Linked DNA regions of Saccharomyces cerevisiae S288C. The protein of the gene in region 2 interacts with the protein of the main gene of each other region in a biochemical or structural test. Each region holds a gene or a part of one and is shown on either strand. Other genes may lie near its edges. The genes, in order: SEC9, SRO7, SEC4 and ATG1.

The links.
Region 1: the proteins of SRO7 (region 2) and SEC9 form a complex in vitro, tested with the Saccharomyces cerevisiae proteins (4 studies listed by BioGRID).
Region 3: the proteins of SRO7 (region 2) and SEC4 form a complex in vitro, tested with the Saccharomyces cerevisiae proteins (4 studies listed by BioGRID).
Region 4: of the proteins of SRO7 (region 2) and ATG1, one has a biochemical effect on the other in vitro, tested with the Saccharomyces cerevisiae proteins (one study listed by BioGRID).

Annotation. Positions count from the first base shown.
Region 1 is NC_001139.9:506,619-512,691, forward strand, and holds SEC9 (Sec9p), read right to left. Parts: upstream 4,385-6,073; coding exon 2,429-4,384; downstream 1-2,428. Other genes in the region: mRNA splicing protein PRP18, read left to right, coding at 1-207; ECT1 (ethanolamine-phosphate cytidylyltransferase), read left to right, coding at 351-1,322; STF2 (ATPase-stabilizing factor family protein), read right to left, coding at 1,492-1,746; nicotinamide-nucleotide adenylyltransferase NMA2, read left to right, coding at 4,927-6,073. UniProt on the Saccharomyces cerevisiae protein: Component of a SNARE complex that may be the effector of SEC4 function in exocytosis.
Region 2 is NC_001148.4:631,347-638,587, reverse strand, and holds SRO7 (Rab GTPase-binding protein SRO7), read right to left. Parts: upstream 4,466-7,241; coding exon 1,364-4,465; downstream 1-1,363. Other genes in the region: HTS1 (histidine--tRNA ligase), read left to right, coding at 1-1,209; NTO1 (Nto1p), read right to left, coding at 4,827-7,073. UniProt on the Saccharomyces cerevisiae protein: Acts as an allosteric regulator of polarized exocytosis by promoting the targeted fusion of vesicles with the plasma membrane.
Region 3 is NC_001138.5:127,625-132,566, reverse strand, and holds SEC4 (Rab family GTPase SEC4), read right to left. Parts: upstream 2,234-4,942; coding exon 1,586-2,233; downstream 1-1,585. Other genes in the region: VTC2 (vacuolar transporter chaperone), read right to left, coding at 1-757; proteasome activator BLM10, read right to left, coding at 2,657-4,942. UniProt on the Saccharomyces cerevisiae protein: Involved in exocytosis. Maybe by regulating the binding and fusion of secretory vesicles with the cell surface. The GTP-bound form of SEC4 may interact with an effector, thereby stimulating its activity and leading to exocytotic fusion.
Region 4 is NC_001139.9:157,172-163,893, reverse strand, and holds ATG1 (serine/threonine protein kinase ATG1), read right to left. Parts: upstream 3,830-6,722; coding exon 1,136-3,829; downstream 1-1,135. Other genes in the region: serine/threonine protein kinase TOS3, read left to right, coding at 1-485; GTS1 (Gts1p), read right to left, coding at 4,798-5,988; MND1 (Mnd1p), read left to right, coding at 6,609-6,611, 6,695-6,722. UniProt on the Saccharomyces cerevisiae protein: Serine/threonine protein kinase involved in the cytoplasm to vacuole transport (Cvt) and found to be essential in autophagy, where it is required for the formation of autophagosomes.

The DNA.
Region 1 (6,073 bases), on a different chromosome or scaffold from region 2:
ATGAAACTCAGTATCGGCAATGTGGCCTGGCCTATTGGTGTTACTAGCGTAGGCATTCATGCTCGTAGTGCACATTCGAAAATTCAAGGAGGCCGGAATGCTGCTAACATAATGATTGATGAAAGAACGCGATTATGGATTACCAGTATTAAAAGATTAATAACTTTTGAAGAATGGTATACCAGCAACCACGATAGCTTAGCCTAATTGTTGAACTATTGTTTTCGTTATCGCGTGGCACGATATCATGCGGCCAAAATAAGAAGCAAGAATGCAGATGTTGATAGCCTTTGTTCAATTTTCCAGAGACAAATGCTTTACAGGATCGGGACTTGAAATATACTGACTGGATGACGGTAAACTTAGATCCGGATAAAGTTTGGATAGACGGCTGCTTTGATTTCACACATCATGGGCATGCGGGAGCCATTTTGCAGGCTCGTCGAACAGTTTCAAAAGAAAATGGTAAACTATTCTGTGGTGTGCATACCGATGAAGATATTCAGCATAACAAAGGAACACCAGTAATGAACTCTTCAGAAAGATATGAGCATACTAGATCAAATAGGTGGTGTTCGGAAGTGGTTGAAGCGGCGCCATATGTTACAGATCCCAATTGGATGGATAAATATCAGTGCCAATATGTTGTTCATGGTGATGATATCACCATAGATGCTAATGGAGAAGACTGCTATAAGTTGGTGAAAGAGATGGGGCGCTTCAAGGTAGTTAAAAGAACATATGGCGTAAGTACTACCGAGATTATACATAGAATATTGACGAAAAAATCTTTGCCACCGACTCATCCTGATTATTATCCCACCACCCAGGAATTGAGTTTCTATTCTGTCGCCCAAGATGCCGTTTCAAAACATTGTTATGTCTTTCAGAGGGATTTGGACAATGTCTTGGTCAATGGTGGATACAAATTCGATGCAGAAGATTGTGTTTATGTTGACGGGGATTTTGACTTATTCCATATGGGGGATATTGATCAGTTAAGAAAGCTGAAAATGGATCTTCACCCCGATAAGAAATTGATTGTTGGTATTACCACAAGCGATTACTCGAGTACCATTATGACGATGAAGGAACGCGTCTTGAGCGTTTTAAGTTGTAAATATGTTGATGCCGTTATTATCGATGCTGACGCCACCTCAATGTCTCAGTATAACTGCGAGAAGTATCATATTGGCACGGCTGTCCTCACTGCTGCCGGAAAATTCAGTGAATACTTGACTAAAGAGCTTATTGTGAAGAGGGTGGAATCGCAAAGGGAGGTTTACATTGCGAGGAACCAAAAAAAGGGAATGTCCATATAAACAAATGTTGAAAACTTCTTCGAACGTAAATTAAATGGATGTAAGAAAACTGTATTACATAAGTCATGAAGTAGGCATGCAAGTATATACCTATAGATGCATATAAATCAGTGGAGAAGGCCACTATCCTTCAGAGATCAAAAAACCTTTTTTTATCTTGAAAACGCCCTCATTCCTTTTGGACGTTTTCAAACTTTTGTTCATGCGATTGCAAATTTGAGCCTCTTCTATCTTTCTTGAACACTGGGGGTATTTCACCATTATCAATTAAGTCATCAATCTCATCGCCTGGCTTACCCCAATTACCCTTGCCGGAACCTTGCTTCTTGATGTGATTTGGAGATTCACCGTAGTTACCAGTGTGCGAAAAGTACTTTGGATCAGCCTTTCCTTCACGTTCGGTCCACTTGTTTGTTCTCGTCATTTTTTCTGATTGGTTGTACACTTGAGCGGTTTGTTACTGTTGATTGTTCGTTTATTTGTATAATTGAGTTTACACAACAATTGTTACAATAGTATGGGTAATTAGGGCCAAGAGAGTGACAAAAAGCAAACTTATAAATAGTCCTTTTATACAAATGACAAGTGTTCGCTTCTGCGCTCGCAGCCCCCTGTTTTCGAAGGAGTTTCTTAGCCTAAGCTAGGCAGGCGCGCCCCCATTATCTATCCCTTCATTGCTTACTGAGAGGTTTTCCTCCCCCCCTCCGCGTATATTTCCTCCGCTGGAGAAAATTAGTTGTGGGACGGATAGCATCACTTAATTCTGTACCTTTTTGAAACTGGCTTGGTACTTTCTGTTGGATAGCAACATTTCCCGCTGGGATACTTCAACATGGGCTATGAATTTTCTTTTGTCTTTTATCTTTTATCTTTTATCTTTTATCTTTAAATTATTTGAGCTCGGTTAAGTTCATAACTATTGCGTGCCCGAATGGTATTCTTTCAATTCACAACCAAACATTAAAATGAAGAAAGCATACTCTTATATTATATCAATGTCTTTTTCTTTACTTATTTGTCTTTGCTCATAAATTTCTACATAATGGTAGTAATGGTGATGAAATGTTGTTACTTGTGATATATTACATAGTTTTTACAGGCATATTCTATCTGATACCTGCCAACCTGTTGGTATTCATATGGAGATTGATATCTAGATCATCAGTGCTTTCCTCAATGTTGTTGAGACGTTTTTGCTGAGAGTCTAATTCTTTACCAGTGGTCAAGGCCATTTTCTTCAATCTGTTGCTAACCTGCTGAATCTGGTCCAAATTCCTATCAATTTCCAATTCCATTTCGTCATCTTCTTCATCATTCTCAAACTGATATCTCTTTGCCTTTTCTAGAACATTCTTCCTCTGATATCTTTCCCGCACCTCACTTATGTTATTATTTGCGTTCATAGCACCCTCTATTCTTTGAGTGGACTGAGACAATTGTTGACTTGTTTGCTCTCTCATTAATTTTTCTTCAATTTTCCTATTCTTCAGCTGCTCTTCCCTCTCCCTTCTCCTTCTCTTGGAATTAAACGGATTAGAAACATGGACAGCCAATATACTACGGTTCAATTTTTTTAGTTCTGCAACTTTTTCATCTGCAACTTTATTTTGCACCTTCATTAAATCTAAGTTTCCTTCTACGTTATTCAATTGTTCACTTTGATGACCCAGCATACCCAATGTGTTCATACCTGCTCTTTCGGCGTCTTGAGCCATTTTTAGTGTATTTCTAGTAGAGGCTACGGAACTCTGTTTCGTAAATTTGATCTCCTGCTTGATTTCATCTACTGCTTCATCTTCTTCCTGCTGCTGGCGAGCCTCCTCTTCTTTTTGTATTTCTTCAAATGTTTTGTAACCCCTTTGATCTCCATATTGGTTATTTGTTGCGTTAAAGTGTTGCTGTTGCTGTTGCTGCTCATCCATGAACCACTGTTGCTGCTGCTGCTGTCTTGAACTATGATCAACTTCGGACGCATTTAAATCTATTGAATCTTCATTCGTCATTACTGCATTCAAATCAGGCTCATCTAATGCCGCTCTATTTTCTGCAGACTTGTCAGCATAAACTTCTTCAAAATCAAATTCACCTGTTCTAGGTTCTTCATTTAAATCAACTTCACTATTGCGTGCTGCTTCATCAGAAGCAATAAAAGAGGGCGTATAAGTCATTGGAGCTTGTTGCGATTGCGGTTGACGCACACTTCTACTAGAATATGGATTTGCAGACCTGTTCAAATTTCCATTACTATATGAGTCGTTCGCCATAGAGGCGTATGGATTTGCATTCTTGGAGCTTCCTTGTCGAGTACCGCTAGATCTATTAGTATTGGAGTCATACGCCCCGCCATAACTATTCATATCAGCGTAAGGATTTCTCTTTTCTTGCATCGGGTTTGCTAAGGGACTTCTTTGGTCAAGCGATAAGCTGTTGGTCGACGTTGAAACCGGCGGTTGCCTTGTTTGCCTCGAAGGCCCTACGTTTAAAGTGCTGTTTGAATGATTTAAACTATTACGGCCATTCGCATTCACCCAGCTGTTTGAAGTATTTTGGTTACTATACGGGCCATCGTTATTATATGAATTCAGAGATGTGCCATTGTACCCCCCTCCATAATCACCATAAGGCGCAGCATTGACGCTACCTCTCCCATTACTTTTATTAGCTTGAAACCTTGCATAAGGATCGTCATCATATCGGTAATCATCATTTTCGATAGCGTACGGATCTTGCATAGAATTGGATTCTGCTCCATTTCCGAGATCTTGCGTGCCACTTGAACCTCTATTAGAACCAGCAGTTGCCTCGTTAGCATTGGCATCTAAGGGAGAAGCATTCAAATCCTCAAGTTCATCCTGTGGCCTAGCATACTGCTCATAACCTGGTGGCGCGTATACCTTATCTTCAGCTTTATCATTTGCAAATTTACCGTAGGCGGCAAATTTCTCTTTTCTTTTCTTGCTAGGGTTTTTGACACTAATACCCAGTTCCATCAAAGTATCCTTGTTCTGTTCTGGTGTCGCTTCCTCTGGAGGCTTAATCTTAAAAAATTTCTTTAATCCCATTCTTTTGGTGTCAATGGTGTATTATTCCGAGTTACTCCAGGCTAGGTTCAGGAGTACCAAGAATGTACTTTATTTATTTATACACCGGAGCAAGTCATATAATTACGCAAACGATTCGAAATTGTTAAAAGCAGGATCAACGTATCTCATTTCTTTTTGAAAGACGGGTAATAGAAAGTCTCTGAGTCGCACCCCACATGGATATCGTACTATTCGTATATGGAATGTAAAATACTCGCAATACGATTTTATTTAGCTTCACAATCTCTCAAACTTATCGTCTTGATCAATCTTTACGTTTTACCAAATAATCGCCTGTTTCTGGCCATTTTTTGCTTATACCATCTACCATACTCGCTGTCCATATGTGACGGTGTCGTCTCCAAGAAAAATAACAATGTAAATTGACCCAGCGTGACGACAGTAGACTGTAAGTTATAGTACAATCATACTCTACCTTAGTCACTGTTCCTCCACTGTTAAGTAGAGAGAGAGAGAGAGTTTAAAGTGGAGAAGGCAAGAAAAAGTGCACTTATTACGTAATGGATCCCACCAAAGCACCCGATTTTAAACCGCCACAGCCAAATGAAGAACTACAACCACCGCCAGATCCAACACATACGATACCAAAATCTGGACCCATAGTTCCATATGTTTTAGCTGATTATAATTCTTCGATCGATGCTCCTTTCAATCTCGACATTTACAAAACCCTGTCGTCAAGGAAAAAAAACGCCAACTCAAGCAACCGAATGGACCATATTCCATTAAATACTAGTGACTTCCAGCCACTATCTCGGGATGTATCATCGGAGGAGGAAAGTGAAGGGCAATCGAATGGAATTGACGCTACTCTACAGGATGTTACGATGACTGGGAATTTGGGGGTACTGAAGAGCCAAATTGCTGATTTGGAAGAAGTTCCTCACACAATTGTAAGACAAGCCAGAACTATTGAAGATTACGAATTTCCTGTACACAGATTGACGAAAAAGTTACAAGATCCTGAAAAACTGCCTCTGATCATCGTTGCTTGTGGATCATTTTCTCCCATAACATACCTACATTTGAGAATGTTTGAAATGGCTTTAGATGATATCAATGAGCAAACGCGTTTTGAAGTGGTTGGTGGTTATTTTTCTCCAGTAAGTGATAACTATCAAAAGCGAGGGTTAGCCCCAGCTTATCATCGTGTCCGCATGTGCGAATTAGCATGCGAGCGGACATCATCTTGGTTAATGGTTGATGCCTGGGAATCTTTACAATCAAGTTATACAAGGACAGCAAAAGTCTTGGACCATTTCAATCATGAAATAAATATCAAGAGAGGTGGAATCATGACTGTAGATGGTGAAAAAATGGGCGTAAAAATCATGTTATTGGCAGGCGGTGATCTTATCGAATCCATGGGCGAGCCTCATGTGTGGGCTGATTCAGACCTGCACCATATTTTGGGTAATTATGGATGTTTGATCGTGGAAAGGACTGGTTCTGATGTTAGGTCCTTCTTGCTTTCCCATGATATCATGTATGAACACAGAAGAAATATCCTTATTATCAAACAACTTATTTACAATGATATTTCCTCTACGAAAGTGCGGCTTTTCATCAGACGTGGAATGTCAGTTCAATATCTTCTTCCAAACTCTGTCATCCGTTACATCCAAGAGTATAATCTATACATTAATC
Region 2 (7,241 bases):
AGTATCAAGAGGTATCACATTGCAAAAGTCTACAGAAGAGACCAACCAGCCATGACTAAGGGTCGTATGAGAGAATTTTACCAGTGTGATTTTGACGTTGCAGGCACATTCGAATCTATGGTTCCTGATTCCGAATGTTTGTCCATTTTAGTGGAAGGTTTGACCAGTTTGGGAATCAAAGATTTCAAAATCAAATTGAATCACAGGAAGATTCTTGATGGGATCTTCCAAATCGCTGGTGTTAAAGATGAGGATGTGAGGAAAATCTCTTCTGCTGTCGATAAGTTGGACAAATCTCCATGGGAAGCAGTCAAGAAGGAAATGACCGAAGAAAAAGGTCAATCCGAAGAAACTGCTGATAAAATCGGTGAGTATGTTAAATTAAATGGTTCTTTGAAGGAAATTCACGCTGTTCTATCCGCAGATGCCAACATTACTTCAAACGAAAAGGCTAAACAAGGTTTGGATGATATTGCTACTTTGATGAAGTATACCGAAGCATTTGACATTGACTCATTCATCTCTTTTGATCTTTCTCTTGCAAGAGGTTTGGATTACTATACAGGTTTGATCTATGAAGTTGTTACTTCTGCATCTGCTCCACCAGAGAATGCTTCAGAATTGAAGAAGAAGGCCAAATCTGCAGAAGACGCGTCAGAATTCGTTGGTGTCGGCTCTATTGCAGCCGGTGGTCGATATGATAATTTGGTCAACATGTTCTCTGAAGCTTCCGGCAAAAAATCTACTCAAATTCCATGTGTTGGTATTTCATTTGGTGTTGAAAGAATATTTTCTTTGATCAAACAAAGAATTAATTCCTCTACAACTATAAAGCCAACGGCTACACAGGTGTTCGTTATGGCTTTTGGTGGTGGTAAGGACTGGACTGGTTATTTACCCGAAAGAATGAAGGTTACTAAGCAATTATGGGATGCTGGCATTGAAGCTGAATATGTCTATAAGGCCAAGGCTAATCCTAGGAAGCAATTCGATGCTGCTGAAAAAGCGGGTTGTCACATTGCCGTAATCCTCGGTAAGGAGGAGTACTTAGAAGGTAAATTACGTGTCAAAAGATTGGGCCAAGAATTTGCCGATGATGATGGTGAATTGGTTAGTGCGGCTGACATTGTTCCTATTGTTCAAGAAAAGTTATCACAAATTCATGAAGATGGTCTAAATGAGGTCACTCGTTTAATTAAAGGATTATAAACTTGATAGCTCATGTATTTACAAACCTTCGTAAAACTAGACATGTATAATGAAAAATAAATCGATTCAAATTAATTTATAAAGCATATAGAACTAAAAAAAAATAAGTATAGAAGGAAGTTGCTCATTACCCTGTATGAATTAGTGTATGTATTTAAAAACCAAGGGCACCTTTCATTACATCTTTTCCAGTCTGCTCAACAGCCTCGTTCATTGTTTCTCCCATGGCGGTAGCATAGTCGTTGAATCTATCTTCAACGGCGTCCCATCTAGTTTCTACAGCTCGAGAAACATTTCTTAGTACCCCGTAACTACTGTTCCTGCCCTTACGGGTGGGCTTGGTATACTGGTGTTCCGGATGGTTCGCATTATTATCGTCTGAAGAACGCTCCGAGAAACTTCCCTCAGCAATGATGCTCTCTTTGTATTTGGATGCAGGTCTATTCACGCCACCCAATAATTCATTTAATTGAGCGGGAGTACAATATACAGTGCCTCTTGCCCACTGTAATGAATTTACTTGTGGCCTATAGGGAATCCTGATTCCATTGATGTACAGTGTGTCAGAAACTGGCGCTAGCGTATCCTGTTCCTTGACAGTAGAAAATAGTGACGCCTGAAATTCACTCACTCGAATCGCTATATCACCATTTCTTAAAACAGATGATTCTGTAATGTATTTTGCGGCAATTGGAAATGGAATATGTTCAGACATTTGTTCTTTGAAATCTGGAATAGTAAAAACTCTTAGATGGCCATTGATTTCTAATGTAATTATTACGGTTAGGTTCTTCCTATCATTATTTTTCTCAACGGTTGAGATGTAAGATAAACCTGTCGCGGCAAGCGGGTATTTGAAACCTTTATGTGTACTTTTAGATTTGCCCAGTGTTATTAATCTGATATCATCGAATCCAGTTATTAATACAATACCAGGAATGCAAAGGCCTTTACTTAAATTCTGCATTTTTGGAATAGTTGCCAAGCAGCTAGATTTTGTTTCCTTTGAAAATGCATCAATTTTGTGTATCGGACCCTTACTGGTAACATTAGTAATATCCATTAGTTGCACATCGAACTTTCCACCTGATGCAGGAAGAATTTTGTATGTGATTACCTCGCCCATATCAGTACCACAGACCATCAATATACTAGAGTAACCATCGTCTCCATACTCCATAATTACGAATTCGATGCAGGTAACACATGCGCTTTGAGCTCCCGAGATTTCTCTAATGTTTTCCATGTAAATGATTGCAGGACCTCTTCTATCGATCAACATAAGGCTTCCGGCAGCATATGCGATTCCAACAAATCCAATATTACTGTTGTTGATTGCAGATGTTTTCCCTTTGTTGGCATGCACGGCAGTTGATGGCATAAATCCCTGCCTAACACCGGTAGGTGCCCTGTCTCTCACATCGACGAGAACACCATTCGTATTATTCAAAGAAAACCGCCTGAAATTCATCTCCAGGTCACCGCTTTCTGGTCTGTTCTCAACACTGTAAAACTGGTTTACTTCATATTTGAATAAAACAACGTCTCCTGTTTCAATTGACACCGCCAACTCGAGAGTCTCTGCGGCAAAAGATATCTTATCAACTGCTAGTTCTTTGGCCTTGTTCAACGTTCTTGATAGATTCACTTCAAAGCTAGCATTATCTTGTATATCCCCATGGGAAGCATCGTATATCCTAACTGAGCCATTAGAATGGCCGGTAATGAATGCTGTACCGTACTCAGCGGGAAGTTTTTGCCTTTTTGTTCTAACCCCTCCCTTCAACAAATAATCCTTGTTTTGAGCTGCAGAAAGCGCACCAAGCCATAATTTGTTTGGTACAGAAGCGGCCATTGAAGTCGTGGCTAATGGTCTCAGCCAGGAAAGATTTTGAGGGAATAAAGAGGCTTTATCTGTAAATATTCCAGAAGGATATAGCATTGTTTCTATCTCACCGTTACCTAGGATTAACAAAATTAACCCCGGATTATGACATCCTGCAAAATACGGGGACTGTCTTGGAATTGGTAGTATATTCACTATTGGCACATTGGTTGGTAAGGGAAATATCTTCATTTGTTTCGGATTTGCATAGTAGTTCTTCATACCTTCATAAGAGGTTATTGAATATCTAGGTGTGTAACCGAGGTCGATCATAGTGAGACTTTGATTATCTCCTCTGCTGATTGACTTATGAGAGATGAGTAGTGAAGTATATTCTGGATTGTTTTCACACATCCAATACACTTTCGAAATTTTGGCAGCATTAGTACTAGAATCGCGTATGTAATCAGGTTGTGGAACATTGATTTCTGTCTCAAACACTGTCCTTGCCATGATCATATGGCCTGAATTAGCATCCCAGAAAACCAAGGAATTGTCTTCATGAATAGTGATAATGTGCAGTGAATTAGGGTGATATAAGGACTGAATAACTTTGGGAGTTCTCTTTTCATTGGTTTTTTCTGAGAAGTCGCCTCCTGGAGCAAAAGGTGGTAATTCGTATATGAAGGATTGTTTGATTTCGTTCTCAACCAATGAGTATGTTAGAGTTACATACTCATATGATATTAAAACAGTTCCAATATCTCTAGGGTTCCACTGAATGGATACTATAGGTGATAGTCTTGCAGCCGGAAAAAATGAGCTTTTTTGTAGGTTGTCTAATTTGAAGGAGGAAAGTTGATCCCTATCTATGTCGTAAACTATCATTGAACCATTTTGAAGGCCGATTAGCATCCAGTCTAAGGATGCATCTGTGTCAATTGATGTTATTTTCCCCGGAACAAACACTGTTGTAAGTACTTTTTGAGAATATAACGATAAAACATACACAGTATCTTTTGCGTTAATGACCACCAAATAGATACCTTTCACAAATCTCATTTCTTTTATAGCAGATCTATCCTCCAGTTTTATAACCACTTCCACTTGTTGCTGGCCATAAATATGGACTTCCCCTGTGACTGTAGCAATTGCCAATAAATTTTGGGTGAAATCGAAAGCGGCTGCGATCGGTTTACTGCTCATCCCATATTTGTTGGTTTCTGCTAGTGAAAAAATTTTATTTTTGTTATTTGAACTTATAGGAATCTTCAAAGAAGAGGAAGATTTCGCATCTTTGGAAATAGTAGATGTCTTTGAATTTTTGGATTTAAAAGACGCCTTTGAGTTCTCAATGGGTGTCTCTGAATTTTGGCCTTTTAGGGACTTAAATGCTTCCTTAACATTTTTCAGACGTTTGCTACCGAACATTTTGTTTTGCTCTTATGTGTATAGAGAATTAGTCAGAAATAGTATTGCTTGCTCTTCTTGTTTTATATTTAACATATTCCAAGATTTAAATTCTAACGTGATTAGGTTCATTTCGTTTGAATTTTCATTTTTTACTTTTAACAAAAGCGCCGAACAGGATTCTAGAAATTAAACAAAACCAACTAAACTATAAAAACGGATATTTAGTTCGGTATTGAAATGCTAAAGAATAAAGAAAAGACGACCTTTCTAAGTTATTTTTACTAAGTGTTCCATGAAAGTAAATAATAAGCCAAACTTTTACAAGAATAGCATAAAAATACATACTCATTATACATAATGCAATATTAAAACCTTTATTTTATCCGCTGTTAAGGATTAGCTTCAGCATACGGTGTTCCCCTGCACTCAGTTCTTCTGCATCGCTTAAACCTTCTTCTTCCATAATCACCGGGCCACTCCATGGTCTTTCTTCTATCTTGTCATCATTTATTATAAAATCTCTGGATAGCAACTTCTTAATATCTACATGTTCTATGAGCCCAATTAAATTTGTTACTTGCTCTTTTGCCTTTGATGAGACAGTTTGGAGTATTCTTGATGCACCGGGTAGAGTTTCCAAAACCTCAAAAAAATGCATAATTTCCTCCTTAAAAATTTGGACAGTATCAAAATCACAATGTTTACACTTTTCTAAAATAACCAATAATTTAGGTTCAGTAACCAATCTTTCAAGAGCCTTGAATTGTTCAGATTTTATAAAGATATCCAGTACATTGATTTTTAAAAGATATTTTTGGGGCGATTTAACTATATCAAAAACCTTCTTTCGGGATCTGGACAAGCTGTTTGAAGCTTGTGTTCTCTTTTTCACCAAAGTAGTCAGCTCTTTGAGCCGGTACAAGTCTTCGAGCTGATCATTGGCAAAATCTATTCTTGTTTGCACTTGTTCCTCGGTTAAGGACCCCAATGAATTATTTTCAAAACAGGCAGTTAATGGGGTACCTCCTGTAAGCTCCCTTTTCATTGACCAATATTTGCAAATATCAAATGCGCCTGCTGGTGGGTTAGCTAAGCCAAAAAAATCAACGACCTTTTGCAATATTTCAGCAAAAACATGTGGTGCTACCGGCGTTTGATTAGGTGTTTTCCAAATTGTTTTGTTGAATTTTGAATTTGTCCTATCATTAGCTTCATTATGCTGAGGAGTTTCGGTTTGTAATGTAGAGAGTAGAGAGAAGTATTTTCTAGCTTTATTAATACCTTCTATACTCGTTTGCCATCCTCTAGGTGCATGCTTGTGGCAGAAACTTTCGACTGAATACTTTTGGGAGAATTGATTAGAGGCCAATTCTTGAATAGTGCATTTCCCTTTACTCATGTAGAGACCAGCTCGACGGGCACACGTGACATGATATGCTGTAAAACAGTTTCTTTGAAAGCACTGAATGCAAGCACCCATCTTCTTTTTACAGATGTAGCAGTTAAGTTTCCATCGTGATACGCTAACATTTTGAACGCCTTCTATAGGTTCCATATAATGTAAGTTTGAAAAGTATAGCTCTGGAAGCCATAGAGCACAAATGTTATGTACCCAAGAACCGGTGTCTGTTTGTTTGAATGCACCTGTATGACTTGGACACATTAGACAAGTGGCAAAGTTATTTTTTGAGATCATACATCGTCTACATAACCATTTTCCTTCCGGGATAAAAATTATACCGTAACATTCTTGATGCACAGCAATATCGCATCCATCACAAAAGACAATTGTATTCAGATTGTCACTGTCTGTGCCTAAACAAACTGCACACGCCTGGTCCATCGATAAACCTGTTCCATCATCAGAACCATATAGCTCATAATTCTTACAGTCCCTTAGAATATTATGCCTAGCAATCAGACTATTCGTTGAGGGTATATGTTTTTCAATATGGAACCATTCAGTTTCTAGTGTAGTCATTAAAATTTCAAATATTTCGTGAGACATTTGATCTTTAAAATACCTCTTATTAAGGTAGTGCAAATATAATTCATCCTGTTCATCCATGTCATACTGAGGCTTGAAATTAACAAGATTGGGTGAAATACTAGCGAATTTCTGAATTGCACTCTTTGTACTCGTCGAAATAGTAATATTCGGGGCTTCTTTACTAGAGAATTTGGTGAAGTAGGGTGCCTCCACACCATCGAATTCTTTTTGTTGTTGTTTATAACTCTTCCTATTTCTTACTTTGTTTATATGATAGTACCTGGATATAAAGCTCTCATTAAATCTAACGCAGTATGGATTTTTCTTACCTTTTAACTCATTCGTAGTTATTTTACATTTTTGAAATTCCACTTCGTTCTTCTTCAGTACTAGTGGTTCAGTGGTGACTCTCCCCTTGAAAATCAATTCTTTAGTTTGTACGCTTTTGACACTCCCGATCTCTCTGTTATTCCGATTTGAAATATCATCTGAGTCAGTATCGGTGCTGTTATCCTTTGTTTCCACTAAGGGAACGATGAACGGCAGTAAAGTATCGGCATTAAGATCAGGATAAAAATCTTGGAAGTGCTTTTCTTCACGTAGTTTAGGCCCATCATCTAATGATCCCCTATTCATTAGGTGCTAAGTCGTACAACGCCCTTGTCAAAGTTATTTGAATAAAAAAACCTAATACGTTGAAAAACTGCACGGCTTTCAAACTTTCAAACTTGTTTATTATTATCGTCTTCCATTTTTTTCGGTGCTACAATTTGCGATGAGCCGAAAGACATATATTCTACGTAT
Region 3 (4,942 bases), on a different chromosome or scaffold from region 2:
CATTATTTGATATATCTGATTCGAATCTATTGACCAGGTCATCGTTTTCGGAGGGAACATTGGCGTAGACCAACACGGGAAGATGTCTCAAGATTCTTGTTTTGACCTCCATTAAGTTGTCATTATGAACCCAAAATTTAAAGCTTCTGAAATTCATGTCTATGTCATTGCTGACAATGCTAGAAAACTTAGAAGCGCTGGCTAAGGGTTCAGATGCAGTGTTAAAATTACTTCTCAAAATGTTGTACAAAAATGAAATACGATACAACAATGGGGAATATTCTTCCGAATGGGAAGGCAATTCCTTTAATCTAACTTCCAACAAAGATTTAACAGATGGATACTTTGGATATAGCTTGTCATGTTTCTTAACAATCTTAGCAAACCCAGTAAAGTTCAATCTCTTAAAATTGTCTAATTCGGTAGACTCGCTTAACAGTTCCTCCAATACACGTTGGAATGCATCAGCGTCCAAGGCCTTTATGGCTGCTTCCGTATCTGTTTGTTTCTCCAGATGGGACAATCTCTCCATCAAGTTATTGTACTTTTTTAGTTGAAAACCATAGACTTTTTCAAGTTCCTTATCCAACTCTTCCACAAACTTGGATTCATCTGAATCGTCCCAGCGTGCTTTCTTATCGTTACTTCCATCCTTCACGCTATCTTCCTTCAGGAATTTTTTCAAGCCCTCATAATTAATATAAGAACCCTTCCAAGGAGGATAAACCTCATTAGCCAACTTCACTCCAAACAGCATGTCAAAAAAGTGTCGTTATGTTGAGGTGTAGTCGTTCTTTCTACTTTTTTTTCTAAACTCTTTTCGTCTATTTTATCTGTTTATACCTATGCCTCTTTCCCAGTAATTCGCTTCCGATAGAAAAGATAAGACGAAGAGAGCCTGCCTTTTTTGAGGTCATAATAGGATGGAAAAAAGTTGGCAAGAAGAAAGAAATGACTCTTAATGGGTAAGATACCAATTGCTTAAACACTCCATAAAGCGAATTTCGCAGTCAGTATCTTTCTGGAAGTGCTATACCGCAGTGCGGATTCATTTCCAAGCAGCACGTGGGTTTTTTTTTCGAATTGAGTGATTATGCAACCATACAGGAACCTTACATAAGCGCAAGTAGTTGAATAGTGGATTCAAGAAGCAAAACTTTACTACCGGTAAAAACATTAGAACGAAATAAAAGTGCTGAATCTTAAAAGTAAAATATATACTTGGATAAGAATTCCCAGGGAAACTGGGAACCTCGTTTTCCTGTTGCACTATTTTTTAGATTCTTTCTTGATTTTTTACCAATCGCCTGATGAAAATACCTTCCAGAGCAGAGAACAACAGTAGAAGTATGCTGAAAAAGTTAGTGTGAGAAGTTTGAATTGTTTAGATAATATAAAAGTGACATCTAATATGACTAATATAAAAATAGTAAGTATGGTAATCAAAAAAAGATACAAACAATGTATATATATAAAGGAAAAATAACCTGCGAATATTGAGAAAAAGGGAAAAAAGAATCAAGCGATTTATAGCTCTAATTCCAGTTCACGATTAATTCTCAAAGAAGCAAAAATCTTCTTTTCTTCAACAGCAATTTGATTTAGAACTGTTTCCGCTCCCACTATTGATGCTAATATTGCCCTCTTTACCGTTACCGACGCCAACAAGCTTGTTACTGTCGATTTTTTCTTGGATTAACTTCGCCAAGGTGAAAAAAATCTCGTTGACATTGTCATCGTTCTTAGCACTGGACTCGATGAATGGTATACCCAGCTCCTTAGCCAAGGCTTCACCTTGATCAGCTGTTACCACTCTCGTCTCCATATCGCTCTTGTTACCAACCAACAGTAGCTGTGCTTCATCGTTCGCATGCTCATTAACGGTTTTAAACCATTGCTTGATATTAGTAAATGTTCTCTCGTCTGTCACATCATATACAAGAATGATACCCATAGCACCACGATAATACGCTGTGGTGATTGTCCGGAAACGTTCTTGACCAGCGGTATCCCAAAGTTGCAGCTTTACCTTCTTACCGTTGATATCGACAGTCTTTATTTTGAAATCAATACCAATGGTGGTGATAAATGACGGGTTAAATTTGTCTTCAACAAAACGAACCAATAAACATGATTTCCCAACACCAGAATCACCAATCAATAAAATTTTCATAATAGAGTCATAGCTCTTTCCATTACCGGATGAAGCAGAAACAGTTCTCAAGCCTGACATGTTTATCTTGTTATGTTTATATTCTTTCTGGTGAACGATACGCCCTCGTGTATATACAGTATGTCTACTTTTTCTCCTTTTCTTATTCTTCCAAAAAAAAAAGTTCCTAGTTTATTTTCTTGGAATTGCAATAGGTTGGAATAATGGATCACTAAAAGACAAGCTATAGTGGGTAATTCAAGTTTCCAGCTTCCCTAGAGGTAGAATGCTTTGTTTGGTATAACGTTTCCCTGCCGTTGATCATTCTCAGTGGTGAACTTCCAGTTTTCCTCAAAATTGATTTATTACCCGGCACGCAGCCGTGATCATAGTTACACTAACAACTTACTTTTAGAGTAAAACTAATCAGCAGATAGCTCCAGCTATTTGTTTAGATGTACATATATGTCTAGATATGTGCTTAATATCCTATACTAATATGAATCAGGCATAGTAACTTCTCCATAGGACACCCTCCAGGTCTTCCAGTTCCTCCGTATTGAAAGATGCTCTATCGAACTTCCAAGTGTCGGCCCTCACCTTCTTGAACTCACTAATAGTATTTTTGGCAGCTTGTCCAGTCATACCACTAGTCCTGGCCCACGAGGATAAGTTGCTTAGTTGCTTGGGTATCCATGGCGGTAGGGGAAAAACATAGGGGAACGCTGATATAATAGCTCCCAAACCCAAAACGTTACCATGAATCTTGATATCCGTTTTGGATAACTTTTGTCTTTCTTTCGACGTGTATTTGTTGACGTCGAGACCCTTTGCAAATCTCTCGATTAAACTCAACAACGGCTGTTCCTCTTTCCAGTTATGGACGATATCAGACAAAATGGATGCCGCACGAACTCTCACCTCTACAAACTGTTCGTTATACAAATTGCTGACAACAAATTCCAAAATTTTGTTCTTTTCTTCCTCAGTAAGTTGAAGCAGTTCCGCTGATAAAAAGTGTTGGATGAAAGCTAGCTGTAGTTTCGTTTGGTTTGAAGATAGTGCTACATTTGACGAACAAACATAGTCAACAATGGCGGCAACATGGTTCTTTCTGATCGGCATATAGCCCAAGCCGGCATACAATCGAACAGGATCTAAACTGGCAAGAGCACAAACATCTTTATGTTTCACTAATCCGATCAGAAATGGTAAAACATAATCGACTAAATATGGAACTAACAAAACTTTATTAGGCCCTCTCGCCATTTCTTTGATCCAATAAAATATTGTGGATGTCCTGTAAAAATAGTCTGTCTTAATAAATTGTTGAGGATTCAGGCCGACAACGGAATCTTCCAGATTTTTAATGATCTCAAACTGCTTCTTAATATAGGCATCCACCTTTTCTGGGACGCTTTTTAATGGTAACCCTAATCCATCTGGATCATTCCGTTCTGCTTCTAATAATGTGGTTGGATCTGAAATTGACGGATTACTTTGATTTTGAACTAAGGTCGTCAATAGTTTAGCGACAGCCTGGCGAACCTGATCGTATGGGTGATCAAATACCAACTCATCAAATAGCTTACCAACATCTGGGGCTCTAAATTCCATGCTCATCAAGATACTTCTTAGCATGTAAATTTTGGAGGTTTGATGTGTGGCTGCATCAGATTCACGGTCAAACATGCCATCGGCGTTGATAAAATGGCAAAAAAAAGTTTTAGACCTTCTTAAATCAACGACTGCAGGCAACCACCATGCCAAGGTGCTCCAAATTTCAAATGCGTCATGGTTCAACTCATAATCTAAACATTTGGCTAGGAAGTTTTCGATAAAAGTGTCACGTTTGTCCAAGTCAGAGACTGACATAAACTTACTCCCGCAAACTAAGCCAGCCACTATCTCGACAGACATGATCATCGAAGCCTTATCGTCTTTGTTATAGTAGGATTCACATAGCTCAAAGAGATCCGACATATTCAGTTCGCAGAAACCAGATGATATCAAAAGGATTACTAAAGAGAAAAATGACACGTTACCACTACTAAAAACACCCCTAGTTTCATTATCTTGGACTAAATTCATTGTAACATCTCTCAGGAATTCTCTTGTCAATAGATGACCAGCTGTCTTGAGGACTTCCAGTTCATTCTCACGTAAATTGAGCTTTAAAGCTTTCGGCGACATGACGTACATAAGCCTTCCCCAACATAGCCACCCTACATACGCCCTCAAATCGATAAAATACTTGGGGTTATCAAAGTTATTCATTTCTTCAGTAAACGTTTTAGGGAAGCTTGTGGTCGAAGTGTCCAGTATTTCCACAAATGATGGATTGAATTCATTCTTATAGGCCCTGGTGATGTCATATTCATAGTCAGAGAGAGATATTATCTTGTTGCACGTCGACAACAATGACTTTACAACCAAATGTATGATTTCGGGATGTTTTGTGGAGATTTGGGAGATTATTGAAAATACTGCTCTTTTATCGGGTTTGCTTTCGAGGTTCGATTGGATTTGTGTAACAAAACGTAAAATGAACATTCTTATCTTCCACCCCATATCTTTTTCATTATCTAATTTGTCTAAAAGTTTGTCCTGCAAATCCACTAACAGAGAGAGGTAGTACTCACGCTTTTTCTTTTTGGCAAGCTTTACCGCTTCAACTTGCAAATTAATAGTACCATCAGGAGGTGCTAAAGGTAAGAAAGCTTGATCGGAAATGACACATACACTAGAAGGAATCTTGATCCCAATCACTATGTCAGTTAAGATTTTATC
Region 4 (6,722 bases), on a different chromosome or scaffold from region 2:
ACAATAACCTTAGGACTGGTGCTGACAGAAATTCAACATATTCTCCATCAATATACGACGCAAATACCTTATCACCCTCAGCATATCACAACATCGGTTCTAGAGAGTCATCCTATTCGTCCTTTTCCTCTTTCACATCATCCACCGCTTTTGCATCTCAGATCAGTATTCAGGATGCCCCAGCAATCGGTGATCAACAATGCTTGATAGGTGAGAGTGGAAGTTCATTAAGAGTGAATTCTTGTGAGTTTCCACAATATACAACTATGTCTCCTGTAGGAGAATATCCCTTTGAGAGTACGGAAGCAAGTTTGAGCTCTACTCTTACGCCTGTCGGTAATGTACCTCAACGTATAAAAGCCCACCTGGTAGAAGGGAAATCTAACAGCAAGGATGACCTTAGAATAGAAGCAGACGCATCACTTGTATTTGAGGCTAGCGACGCCCAGCGCACGAGAAGAAGAATGTCTCTTTATAAGCTTTAGCATGATATATGTAAATTATTTTAATAGATGTAATATATGATTAGAAACTTGATAGAAGGATCTAAGTTAATTGTCATGTCGGATCCTAATACCAATTCTTTTAATATTGTGTTTGTTTTTGAACGTTTATTATGACTTGTAAAATACTGTTTGTAACAACAAATTATAAAATGAATTTTAATGAACTCAACAAGTAAAAATAATAAAGATATTAATGACTTGTTAAAGCCTCCTCAATCAAATCATACATACATACATTTATATATATATATAGAACAAAAGGTTAAAGAATCAAATTTTGAAGAAATAAAAATTAGATTAAAAGGATATGTATAGCCAAAGGCAAGTACTAAACGCAACAAAAAAAAACTTAAAAAGAAAAAAACACACCGAAACCGAAGGAATTCAATAATTTCCTTAATTAACATTTAAACATCAAAATAAAACCCATCCAGGTATAAAAGAGCTGGATTTCAAGAAAAAAATCACGTAGAAATAAAAACAAAACAAAACACAAAGGGAAAATAAAATTTGAATACTTTAATGACGAACTCGTAAAGCATTTCGAGAGTAGCATAACATAATCATGAAGATACTTGAAAATATAGCAGGTCATTTGTACTTAATAAGAAAACCATATTATGCATCACTTAATTTTGGTGGTTCATCTTCTGCCTCAATATTTTCAACCTGTTTGCAATACTATCAATATACTTTCTTATGATTATTCTGTCATTTTCATCCAACACACTATGATACTTCTCTTTATCTTCAACGTCGTTACTTTTTAGATGTATGTTAGTTTTAAAAGGGTAGTCACCATAGGCATTCGTAAAATCATCATCGTCCAGAGAAGTTTCTAACATCCAAAGTGAAGTTGCATAAGCTAATTCACAGTTGTACAAATTTTCTCCTTTTAATTCCATATGTGCGGCCATCTTAGATATTTCTAATGCACGATCATATAATAGCTTTTCTAAATATACTGGCTCTTCCGAACTACCTTTTTCTTCCAAAGTTTGATTTTCAGCTACCTCAGAAGCATGCTTGAATCTCAAGTCGTTAATTTTTAATCTCAGGAAATCAGCTTTTTCTAAACATTCATTAAATTTTTCCCTTAGCCACTGTACCAACACGTTAACTCTTAGAGAACATGATTTTTCTTGAGATTCATACCACCAGTTGGACGTTACCTGCATAGATTTTGATAAAATGGATAATGCCTTCATATATAAGACAATGGCCTCATTACATAGAAGGATCATTTCCGAACGTGGTAGTTTATTGAAAGTTGCACTCAACTGAGATGTGGCAGATAAAGTTCTACCCTTTCCAAAAGTTTTCGTGGATAAGCAATCTTCCTTGTACTTTTTCAACGTTTCATCCTCTTCTTCTGCATCGTCTGAGTCTTGTTCTTCTGCAATAGCATTACTATCCATACTGCGCCTGTTCTCAAAGTTAGCCATGCCTTTTAATGTTGTTGATAATGGAACAATTTGAGAAAATTTCACTTCTGCATAAGAGTAAACAACAAATGCCTTTGCGGCCAGAGATTCCAAAATACTAACGATATTAGTATTATCTAATTTCAGTGTCTCTGGATGCTGTAGGTGATCTATTCTTAATATTATATTCTCAGTAAGTTCATGAAAAAGTTGGGAATTCAACAAAGTTTGACTGTACGGTGGGGAAGATGTGATTTGTTGCTGTTGCTGCTGTTGATTTGCACCACCAAACAATCTCGTTGATGCAATACCGAGGGCTCTTGATAATGCATTAGATGGATTCAGCGAGGATATAGACAAGCGTCTATCCACCAAAGATGGTCGCCTAGACCCATCACTACCTCCACTGGAAGATGATGTGGCCCTCAGTAACCTCGGATTTTCTCCTTGATTTTGAAAATACTGTTGATTGTTTGGAGAGAATTGCTCATTCAATAAGACGTTCTGATTTTGAGTTGAAGTTGGGTGCTTAATAGGATTTGGATTGAATCCTGCTTGAGCAACCTCGTCTGCCAATGAATTAACTTCAACCGATTTCTTCTCTACCACCACATATTCTCTTTCAAAGCTTCTATCTGAAACTAGGCTATTATGGTATTTATTATTTGAAGCCTTTTTATCTACGGCTTGTGTATGGTCTGTTTTAACGGCTGGGGCAGTTAATATATTGCTGTTCTTGAGGGCATCACTGAGCTCCGCGGGATTATCTGCCATTGATTGATGACCTGCAAGATTACTGTTCGGACTCTTTGGCTGTTTAGATAAATACTCAGAAACGAACATATTACTTTCTACAATACCTTTTGATTTGGATTCTAACTCAGGTAAATCATCTTCCAATTCATAAGAAGACAAGTCTTCGTTGACTACCTTGTTAGCAAAAAACTCCTCAAATCCTATTCTTTGGGCTGGATCAAATGTCAATAAACTACATATCAACTCTTTTAACTCTGGTTCAATATTGCAATATGAAGGAAACGTTATGACATCGTTTGCTCTTTTAATTTTCTTGAATAACTCCAAATGATTGGAAGCTCTAAACGGTGGGGTGCCACAGCACATTTCGAATACCACTGTACCGACAGACCACAGATCTGCTTTAGCGTTATATTTTTGATAATTCAAAATTTCTGGTGCCATATATAATGGTGAGCCACAAAGAGTTTCTGCTAATGACGTGTTTGGCAAAAATCTTGCAAACCCGAAATCTGCTATCTTTAAAATGGGTAAGTTGTAGATCCCAACAAATCCAAGTTCATGGAAGCTTTTTGAATCATGATATCCAATTAGGGGTGTAGATAATAGTAAGTTTTGAGGCTTGATGTCTCTATGAACCAAGTTTTTAGACCTCAAAAATTTCAAAGCGGACGCTAACTGCTGTAAATAACTCAAGACAAACGCTCTATGCAGGCCGTTATGGTTCTCACTCGGTGGAGGGTATTTTTCAAATACGGTCCTTAGTAGAGGATGATTCTCCATCAATTCTTTACGCCTTTTCAACAGAAATGTTAGGTCCCCAAGAGCACAGTACTCCATGATCAAATAAAAATCTGTTGATGTTCGTTCACAGTCAATAAGTCCGACGATATGAGGATGCTTGATTTTCTTCAAGATAGCGATTTCTATTTCCAAATTCTCTAGTAATTTCTTATTTTTTAATTTCGCCCTTGATACTTCCTTTATGGCTACATGCTGAGATTTGTCGGATGTCAGATGCCCTCTATATACAGTGGCAAACGAACCCTTTCCGATTTCTTTCTCAGCGGTGTAATTTCCTGCACTTGCCATTAGATTATGGTTCACAGAGGTTGTGTGATCTTTATTTTTAATGTCTCCCATTTTCTTAATTTCTCGTCTGGTGTTGTAAAAGAGATTTGAAAATATGGGGTAGCTTCAAATTCGTTTTGTGGAGATATCAATGATTATTCTCCTATCTCCTTTGCCTTATGTTTTTATTATATTATATGTTATTTTATTATGGGTACTATTACTACGATTGTATTATATCTTTTTATCTTCTATAGTACTGTTCTCTGTTTCCCCAGAAACTAAAAAGGGTAAAAGATGGCCTTGGTACTTAACTTAAAGGTGATGAAATGTGGCGTTCTAGAATTAACCTCGGCCTAAAAAATAAAAAGCTAAAAAAAAATAGTACGATCAGGAAGATATTAATAATATAAGCTCCTTTATGAGATGCTCGATTCCTTTTGTTGCCAACTAAATGACGCTTAGAATTCCATCGATTCCACGATCGATATAGTTACAAATCACAAACTGATGCTGATGGGGGAAATGGTTTAAGAAATCAGAGCCGAGCGGTTAAAAAGAAAAACAGATGCTTGAATACGAATGATATGCTTGCTTCTTTAACGGTATGGCTTTCCAGTAATAGTTACTCCGATAAGATTCATTACAGATACACGAAACGAACAAGGAAAAGATGATTAACGGGAAAAAAAGAGAGTTCCTTATCTCATTGATTTTAACTAGTGGGTTTTCCTTACATTACCGCCCAATCCCTTTTTTTTTTCTCGCTCTCACCGGCGGAGCGCGAGCGGAAAACGCCACCCAGGTGACTTTTGCGCTAAGTGTGGATCAAATACAGTGGTATTAGTCATTGATGTGCAGCGTAAAACGTCCGGAGCAGCTGTGTAATGCGGCTGTGTAGGGTGAATACAATAGAGAATATGACTAATTCTGGTATATAGTCGTTGTTTACAGATATCTTTCGTTACTTAGTGTCATTTAATTACTTAGTGTCACTCTATATGATATGTAATGCGGAGCAGCGGCAATGTATCTTATTTTTATTGTGTGTAGAAATAACCTTGTGGCAGGTTTCCTCCTTGCGACATTTGCTGAAAAGATAATGGCGCCTGTTGCTGTTGCTGCATCTGAAGCTGTTGCATCTGGATCTGCTGTGCTTGAGCCTGAGCCTGGGCCTGAGCCTGAGCCTGAGCCTGAACTTGAGCCTGTGCCTGTGCCTGTGCCTGAGCCTGAGCCTGTGCGACAGCAAGCTGTTGCTGTTGCTGTTGCTGCTGTTGCATAGCCATGGCGTATTGCTGCTGATCTACATATATCATTCCGGTAGCAGGATCGTAATACTGTTGAAGGGTACCATCGAAAACTGCTGGCTTTGCTTGTACAAAAGATGCTGAATTTGAAGTAAAATCTGGCGTGATTACATTTGTACCATCAAAAATAGCTGGCTGTGGGCCACTTGTTGTCGCACGTCTCCTGGGCAGGGGCGGAGTTGATGTTGTCGCTGCTGCCGATACACTATTTCTTGAACTTGAACTTTTTTCTAGATAATCGATTGCTCTATTGATATTTCCGTGAGCGGACGATAATGCATCTAAATTTTTGTTTGTATCACCGAAACCCATGTCCTTGAGTTCTGCCAGTTGCCTAGAATATCTGCTTCCACTGCTTTGGAATGAGTCCCTGGAACCGCCGTAGTCAGACCTATTATGGCCCCCTTTATAGAAAGAATGAGATCTGCTCCTGCTCCTACTTCTATTTCTTTCATCAAACCTGTCCGATTCCCCATCAAAATCATCCATTCTGGATCCAAAGTCTTCAGGCTTTATTTCATCATACCTGAATTTACCCAAAATATACTTGTCTCTAATGTAATGCTCCACGATGGCTTTGTCATCATCTCCATCAAAAGGAAAAGGGACATTTTTAGGATTCCAGAACCGAGCATTCCCCTTATTGCCTCCAAGACTCACTAATTCATCGATATCCTCTCTTGTCCATCTATCCATTGATAGTGATTTAACGTTAGAAAAGGCATCGTCGTCTCTGCTACCGAAAACTTTTCTATGAACAGAGGCACACCTACCACAAAGGAAAACCCCCAAATTAACTGAGCACCAAGTTGGGTAGAAATTACCACATTCACCGCATTTATTGGCATTCTCGGACGAATTAATCAACTCCTTTAATTCTCTGTCAACATGTTTTAAGCTATGGGAAGAACTCCTAAACCTCATTTTTGACTAAGTATAAATAAACTATAATCTGTGATTGACAGAACGCTGCCTCCATCTATATTAATGATTGATCAAGAGAAAATGTTCTTCTTCCACCCTTTTGTGAAGCATTTAGAGATCAACACTAACTTTCTTCAACTTACAATAATTTCCGGGTGCCCCCATTTATCGATTACCCGGATCCGCTTTGCATCATAGTGTGTCGTTGTCGAAACAAAAGCGCCGTATTATTTGGTCAACGTTTAATAAAGTAAAAGCAGCATTTGAGATGCTCTATACAACCTTCTTAATTGCAACCGACATAAAGGTATGTTTTTCTCTTCTTATTATGACAAGGGAAACTTGAAGAAGAATTCGTGTCTTGCCATAATTTCAGCATCATCGTCTCAACCTAAGCCTCTTCTCACGAAGGCACGCTCAAATATCTTTCTGGCTCTAAAAATCTTGAATAACGAACCGAATTTACCATCTTTCCTGCTTTTTTATGCGTCGAAAAAAAGTAAAATAACCGCCCAGATCACGAAATTGCATATAAAAGGCGATCTCCCGTCCCACCGTTATTCTTTGCGATATAGACTAAACGGCGGAAACTTTATGTGTAGTATCATAAACATTCAACAATGGTATGTCTAATAAAACCATCATGGTACACAGGACTGAACACTAACTTATAGACGGGTGCGTGCTACCCTCTTCTTATTATTAGGGGCCAAAGAGACAGACAGTATCACTCC